Coturnix japonica: one gene and its partner. The protein of the gene in region 2 binds, or shares a complex with, the protein of the main gene of each other region. Links are inferred from orthologs where the notes say so. Each region holds a gene or a part of one and is shown on either strand. Other genes may lie near its edges.

Region 1 (3,818 bases), on a different chromosome or scaffold from region 2:
CACTGACATGTGGAATTATAGAACTTAAATTAATTTGCACTACCTAAAAAAAAGAGAAATAAAAAAAGAGAAAAGCATACATTATCAGTCCCAGTTTTGCACTGTATTTAACGCACCCTGTAGAGATGCTCAGAACCTGTTTTGTGACATTAAAACTAGCCTCCAGCCTCCAGTTCCAGGCTGTTTCATTGTGCCAGACTGTTGGTCACAGGAAAGCACAGGTTAGGAGGCACCTCTGAGATGGAATCCAGCCTTCCATTGTAAAAGCAGCCCATCCAGCCAAACCTTCACAAGGTTCTTATTCAAAGCGCCTTATCATTACTCCTACCTTTTCCATCATCCCTAAGACTTGCATAAAGTACAGATCTTGAATTCATGCCTCTCCCATTAGTTGAAATGAACATTATCCTACTTCTCCTCTTCCCCCCACACCTGACCATGCCTTGAAAACATGCTCTGCTTAGAACTGTGAGTTAATAAAAGCAACTTCAATGAAGTACCAAAAAATCACAGCAGGAGACAAAACTAATAACCACAGCAGTTACTTGTTATGAGAACCAAACATACAGCAGTAAGTCATTTCAAGCATACCTGGGAATACTCAGGTTCTCTGGAAGAACTCTCATCATTTCTAAATAGCTTCACAGCTTTAAGATATGCTTCCGTAACCTCAAGCTTGGCCTCATCGAAACCTGAGTAAATTTAAACAAAGTTGCATAACTCTCAGAAATTAATACTTCTATTCAAAAACTGAACATTCAAAGTATTTTTTTTTCCAAGGCACACCACTTCATATTCCACTCCCAAAGGAACTACTCAGGAACGATACATAAATTACAGTACAGGGTGGTGGGGCATCTGTTTTTTTCTGTCTGTTTTACTTTCTCTCTTCATACTGAGGAACAAAATAAGCTCTTTAAACATTAGAAGTTGTAGCTAATTAAACTTACAGATTTGCCCCTTAAGTTTATGAAGATTCTCTGATATTAAGATTTACTTGTTTAAGACAGATCACACGTTTAGCTGATAATATTCAGCATTACTGGCCACTGTTAAGAAATCTGATTTGTTTGCTTTGCGCTGACCAGCCCATGCATGTTTGTTATTAAAAATGCTCAAATATGTCAGATCTCAGCATCAAAAAGACTTACTAGTTCAGGTAAGCTTTCTTCTTATCTATTCATTACCCTGTGGTCTTCTATGTTAGTTCTAGCCTGACAAGGAATGCATATCCTTCTGCCTTAGTTTAAGGTGTCAGTAGAAGTCTTCAAGTGGAAGAAATCACAGTGAAAAAAAATCAGAAACATGCTGTGATTTGATTCACTGCTCCATTATCCTGATTTGGCTTTTTAGGGACGTTTCATTTTGCACTACCACACATGAAACTATCACAGTGAATGTCCTCCTAGGATTTCATCTTTACCTGTATGCTTTAAGTGCTTCAGCGTCACATTATCAACAGGGAAAAAGCTCAGAATAGCACCGTATTCAGGACACATATTTGCTATTGTGGTTCGATCTGCCACAGACAGCTGGGAAACTCCACTCCCAAAGAACTCCACAAATTTTCCAGCAACTTCAGCTTGCCTAAGATGCTGTATAAAAGAACACAACATTTGGTATACAAAGAAACAATGGAAGCAATGCATCTTGCAAACAGCACAAAAACCCCACAACTTATGAAGTACTGAGTACTAAATTCAAGGCTGGATGTTGACATCGTAAGACACACTTCTATTGGCAGTTGTGTTCTTCAGATGTCCAAGGCAAAAACAGGTGGATGCTTCCCAAAGCATCATACCAGAAAGAACATTTTTAAAGCAACCAAAGCTCTTAAATGCTTTAACACTGGCTCTCAAATGACTAGAACAAGAAGTTCTGTGCCATGATGGCAAAGCCCTGGCTTCAGAAGGTACATGTTTTAGTTACACCAGCAGATGGGCTTTTTGTCTTGTAACACTTTAGATAAAAAACGGGTACACAGAAGTTTGAGCTTGAAGAGAAGCCTACATGCTGTCAAAAGACAAGAAATAGCCAGGATTTCACTTCTCAAAACCCATGGATTGCTTTGTCTGAGCAGGCACTGAACTCACCTTTGTAATGCCTAGAACGATGTCTATGGACGTAGCCAGTGGGCTGGCTGTGCCCGTCAGTTCACACCCAACCACTTCAGGCAGAGTGAAAGTAACAGGCATCCCCAGCATCACAGCTTCTGTTTCAATTCCCCCAACACCTGCAGTGAGAATATTACCTTGTTTTTCATCAGCTTAAGTAAACAGACACTAAATATTTTTATGTTCTCAAGTCTAATAAAACTCTTCCTATAGGTTTATAGGCTGTAGCAAGAAAGAGTTTACTATTAAATATTTGCACATGAAAAAACAAGACTACTGCCAAAGTGGTCTGACCACACTTCACAAGAAAGACATTCTGTATGTAAGTTTTGCTTTCCACAATGAAGAAAATCTTACTCCAAATTTTACATTACATGCACAAAAAGCAACCAGGATATCAAAAGGTTTGGGGTTTTCTTTTTTGCTATTTTTAAATTACATCAAGCAGCTTTTGATGGTAAGAAACATTAGTCAAGACAAAAAAAACACATTCTGAAGAATTCACAACTGAGCCTGAAACAACTCTAGGAAGTAGGAAGAAAGTATTGCTCAGTAATGCCTCAGTAAGCCTTTCAAACTGCTGTCAAGTTACTGTTAGCATACTTACCCCAGCCCAAGATACCCAAGCCATTTACCATGGTTGTATGAGAATCTGTGCCAACCACGCTATCTGGATATAGGAAATCTTTCACATCAAATACAACTCTTGATAGATACTCCAAATTAACCTGGTGTGCCATTCCAGTCTCTGGTGGTATTATGGAAGTATTCTTGAAAACTTTCGAACTCCACTGTTATTTTTCCAAAAAGAGGAAAAGAGAGAGATTTTTCTCAGGGATTTATTCAATTCTTTTTGGAACACAACAAAAACAACAAAGCTGATATGCAATGCAATAGTAATTGCTATTTATGTGCCTTGTGCTCATTATTCCAACAGTTACATGAGTTCCTTGGATCCCATGCATTCTTAAATGGTTGACAAGCCCATACGCTCAATTCTGCTGAAGGCTGAATCAGAAGTTCCTAAGTCTCAAATGCAGGACTATACAAGGCTCTTAATTTCTAGCTCACACAACTGATTTTCAAGCACAGCCAAGACTAATATTTAGACAACAGAATTAGCATTAACATCTATCACAGATTTCAGTTTAGGTTTTACATACCTGTGTGTGACTAAGGAGGCAATGTATACAAGTGCCTCACTACATACAAGCTCAGGATGCCACATAGCTACAAAAGAAACTGCCATGAAGGCTTGAAACAAAATCCAGCTTGGTTATTTCCCCCTTCACACATACAAGCTGATGTGCAGCTTCTCTGAAAATTTCCTAGTCTACTTACATGAATAGATTAGGATCATTTCATTGGATCCCTAAACCACATTAAATTAGTGGATGAGGATCAAACACCAACACTGCAGATCCCTGGCTATAAGGAAGCTGATACTCACCACAAGATTTGCATTCAAAACACATCTGCTGGCACTGCTGCCTATTTTGAGAGTAGCAATACTTCAATATCAGCTTCCATTTAATATTTCTAGCTTCAGTAAGATTTGCAACACGAGTATGGATAAACAAGCTTGTTATCCAAAAAGCCAATTGTGATCTATAGCACAGAGCTTGCACTTGCAGCTTAATAAGTGTTAACTTTATCCCGTACATTCACACTGACAAGACCAAACCAATCTGTATCCACTTTTTC
Region 2 (3,818 bases):
GCATCAGAACCGGGATTACTGACAAGTGGAAAAATAGGAAACTATAAGAAAAAAGGAATAAAATGAAGGAGGAAAAGGGTTCCATATAAGACATTAAGTTCAACTTGATGCAGGAAAGAGTCAGTGAAGGATTTTAAAAAGGTATAAAAGTTTCCAGATTGAAATGCAAGGAGAGATTTTAGAAGTCAAGAAGGAAAAGAACCAGGTAACAAACCAGAAATGCATCAATGTGTCACAAAAGTCCATGAAGTCATCCAAAAATTATGGAAGCAAAAATGATTTAATACTCTGACCTGTAACATAAGGATCCAGTCCAGTAAAGCACATCACCTCACATGACTTTCAATGGACAGAATACCCAAGCATCGGTACAGTTTCACTCACAGTACCAAAGCTGTGGCATCCTGTATAGCTGCTGTGGCTACAGCTCAGTACAGATGCCAACTGAGCTGACTGCCATGAACTATCAGGGAAATACCATATTGTTTTACACACAGTTCTTATAGCCCTGTGAACCCAATTATCCTTCCTTTCCATTCTGTTGCACTTACCTGTTTTAAGTTCACACATGGAATAAAATCACACCGTGGTTCCCATCTCTAATGCTATGAATGCTTACTGGACCTGACATAAGACTGGATTGCGCTGCAGTGAACGCTAAGACTTCCACCACAAACATATTTTATGCATTTCTCCAGATCCTTCTCCAGCTAACATTCAACCCTAAGTAATTCAAGCAAAGCTAGAAAGACCAAGTTACATTTCCTACAAGGACACATGATAGTATTCTACACCCAAACCACTGTAACGTGTGAGGTTTGCATAACCAGCTCTGCCCTCTCTCCATCACCCCCAAAAAAATCACTAAGCTACAAATCTAATGACAGCTCTTTCTTGATTTAGCACCATAAAGAAAGCACTCAACATCATTTACAGGGAAGAGATGAAGAAGACAACCATGTATCAGTTATATACTTACTTCAGATTAGCATAGGTAATAGAGGCTTAGAAAGTAAGAGAACATGGACCAAGAATGCCTTCCCCCTAGGCAATACAGAACTGCATTAAACTTAAATACAAAAAGCCAACCTGACATAACAGTTCTGATTCTGTAACTAGCACTTGAATTCAGTGCTGTGCAGCCAAGAAAAGAGTTTGCAGGCTTTTAGTTTGTGTGGTTTTGGCAGTGCTGCAGCGTGTTGGGGTTTTTTTGGCGGTGGGATTTTTTTCTTTGTTTCTTAAACATCCTTAAGCCAGACATTACTCCCCAGACAAGGATCACATCTTCATAAAAAGACATTACCGTTAATGTTGTCACAGTAGTAAAAGTGTTCATCATTTAGAGAAGGGCATGCAGAAACTAAATCCTGCAGGCCCGCACCAGTTACAGTGAGACAACCCGAGAGATTGAGGTGCTCCAAGTGTGGCAGTCCTCCTCCCAAAGTCAATGCCCTGTGAACAGACAGAAAGAGGGGTGTTAAAAGCTGGCACAGCACTATGCTGACAAGTACTCCTGTATGTCACCACGTCACGTATTTACTAACATCCTGCAAGAAAACCACACCTCTAATAAGCCACTTAATTTCAAGTCTGGCATCCCATACGGTTAATCAGCCTTGAAGCCACACGACAGGGCTGAAAAATGAATCCATCTCTACAGAAATTAACAATTCCCTTTGACAGAAATACAGCTCTGTGGGAAACCACTTTTCATTAATGATTCTGGGGATGACCAAGTATTTCTAGGAGCCAGCATGACACACTTCTCCAACACACCACTGATACTGGTGAGACTCCCATGGCGATGTGTATTTCTCAACACATCCCAAAAACAGAACTGCAAGTTTGGTGTGTAAAATTTCCAAAAAATTTGAGTATTATGTTTTTATTAGTCAGTTTGAAACTCAAATTTGTATTTCCTTGGGTCAGATGAATCTTTACCAGCTGAGCCTCTCTCTGCCATCACAGCACTACACACTATTCAAGCCAAATTCTATTTTCACTCCAAGTGCAGGAGTTCAACTGCAGGTAAAGGAGCCTCAAGGCTGTAGTGCATCTGACCCCACACTCAGTGTTAGGCTGACTGCTCCTCTGCGCTCACAGGACAGCAAACCTGTCAGAAAGGGGAGAACAGACAAAGCCACTCACGCTTCAATCAACATGTTCCAGGTTCAAGCAAAGGCCTTTTCACTTTTATGTCCTAAAAGCATGAGTATACAAAACCCTCCCTTGTCAGCAGACAGGAAAAAGAACAACTAACAAAACCAGCTATCAATATAAAGTTCAGTTTATATGAAATGAATGTACATTAGAGTCTCATTATTTTTTCTTCTGGGACCCAAAGTACTACAGAAGTGCAAGAAGCACTTACTGCAGAATATACCCTCAACTCTTAACATTTCCCTGTAACCAAAAAGCACTGATGTGAGACCACAACTAATCACCCCCTATGACTCAAGCATCAAGTCTTCCTTTGATTCTATAGGACTCAGTGAAGAATAACACTGGTAACATGTCAACTACACGCAGCATTACCTGTCCATTGCCAAATAAACCACAGACAGCAGTACCAGTCTGCTCCTACACCTGGACAACATCAGGCTCAGCCGCAAAGCACAGCTGTCTGTCCCTGAGTAACTGCTAGGAGACACCTGAACAGCTGTACTCTAAATTCTGTGTCAAAGTGTATGGAGAGGCAATTCAGTGCCTGCAGTGCTTCACAGTGTTTCTCCACGGGCTAAAGTGTACAGTACAAGTAGGAACGAAGTCTTGAATTGCAAGCAGCTCTAATTAGTCCCAGGAGCTACAGCACATCTGAGCAAGTGACTGCAAGCATTTCTGTCTTGTCTCATTTTCATTATGAAGCTGTAGCTGCACATTTCTGACATAATACAAGGCATTGAGTAATAAGTCAGGCTTTTATCTACTGCAAGCAAACTTACCAAAGTGCTTCATTTCAGAGGAGCTGTCTAAAAGAAACTTTTTTAATCCTTTCATTCAAAGGAAGAGTTGGGAGAAAATTTTCACATCTGCTATTCTCAATACTTTGAGATGCAAGGACTGCTTAAGATATACTGGATGTTCTCAATGTAAATGCTTAAACTGCGACTAGGTGGATTCAACCCAGAGCAACCCAAGCACACAGATAATACAAAAACCACACTGCAGCAAAACAGCTCAGAAACGTCTTTTCACCTGAGAGCACGATCTGTGATCTGGTAACACCCAGACAGACTGAGAAACTGAAGAACTCGTGCAGTCTCTTCATCTGGTTTGTCACTGCCAGAGTAGGCCAAGTCTTTTTCCTCTGACTGTTTAGTCCTTGGTGGTTTTTTGCACAGTGCAGAGGACTCTGGAAGTGCTCGAATAGTTCTTAGTGCTGTTCCAGCACAGCAAAATGAGTGACCGCAGTAAATGAAGTCAGTAGAAGCACAGTGCTGCTGCCACCCTCTAGTCCTTAAACCATAAATGTCTCTACTGCAGCAAGATGCAGAACAATTAATGTGGGATGCTGGCTCCACAAGACAAAATCCTTCAACATTTCTGTGTCTCCACTCAGCAGCATCTTCAATATCAGCTAAATCATCTGCATTCAGCATCCACACATACGCAGAACTGAAGTTTTCAGAGCCGTCGGGTTTAGTCCAGTGATGCTTACTGTCTGTTCCCTCAATGAGGTTTTCATTGTTGATTTCGTGCAAACAATTATACTTCTTGTTGGACTGCAGAGTCATCTCCCTGTTCTTCCACGAAGTCTTAGCATTCCTGTTTCTGCAGCCTTTCAGAACACCTCTGTTATGGTGAGTTGATATGATACC

What was found.
Region 1: the proteins of FBXL5 (region 2) and IREB2 are in contact, whole or in part, in a cryo-EM structure (PDB 6VCD), measured with the Homo sapiens proteins. The link is inferred for Coturnix japonica from reciprocal best matches to the Homo sapiens genes FBXL5 and IREB2. Residues at the interface, in NP_036293.1 of Homo sapiens: Asp656, Glu657, Tyr661, Cys662, Asp663, Asn664, Ile665, His669, Ala670, Asp671, Thr672, Ala673, Ser674, Gly675, Cys676, Gln677, Asn678, Leu679, Gln680, Cys687, Arg688, Ser689, Gly690, Glu691; in NP_004127.2 of Homo sapiens: Asp89, Phe90, Ser129, Asn217, Val220, Glu221, Arg224, Arg228, Ala758, Gly759, Ser760, Arg763, Asn764, Thr777, Pro778, Arg779, Asn782, Ser783, Tyr784, Gly785, Ala786, Arg788.

The regions. Positions count from the first base shown.
Region 1 is NC_029525.1:2,879,275-2,883,092, forward strand, and holds part of IREB2 (iron-responsive element-binding protein 2), read right to left. Parts: intron 2,906-3,818; coding exon 2,722-2,905; intron 2,234-2,721; coding exon 2,094-2,233; intron 1,596-2,093; coding exon 1,424-1,595; intron 693-1,423; coding exon 592-692; intron 44-591; coding exon 1-43. UniProt on the Homo sapiens protein: RNA-binding protein that binds to iron-responsive elements (IRES), which are stem-loop structures found in the 5'-UTR of ferritin, and delta aminolevulinic acid synthase mRNAs, and in the 3'-UTR of transferrin receptor mRNA.
Region 2 is NC_029519.1:69,533,439-69,537,256, reverse strand, and holds part of FBXL5 (F-box/LRR-repeat protein 5), read right to left. Parts: coding exon 3,196-3,818; intron 1,453-3,195; coding exon 1,304-1,452; intron 1-1,303.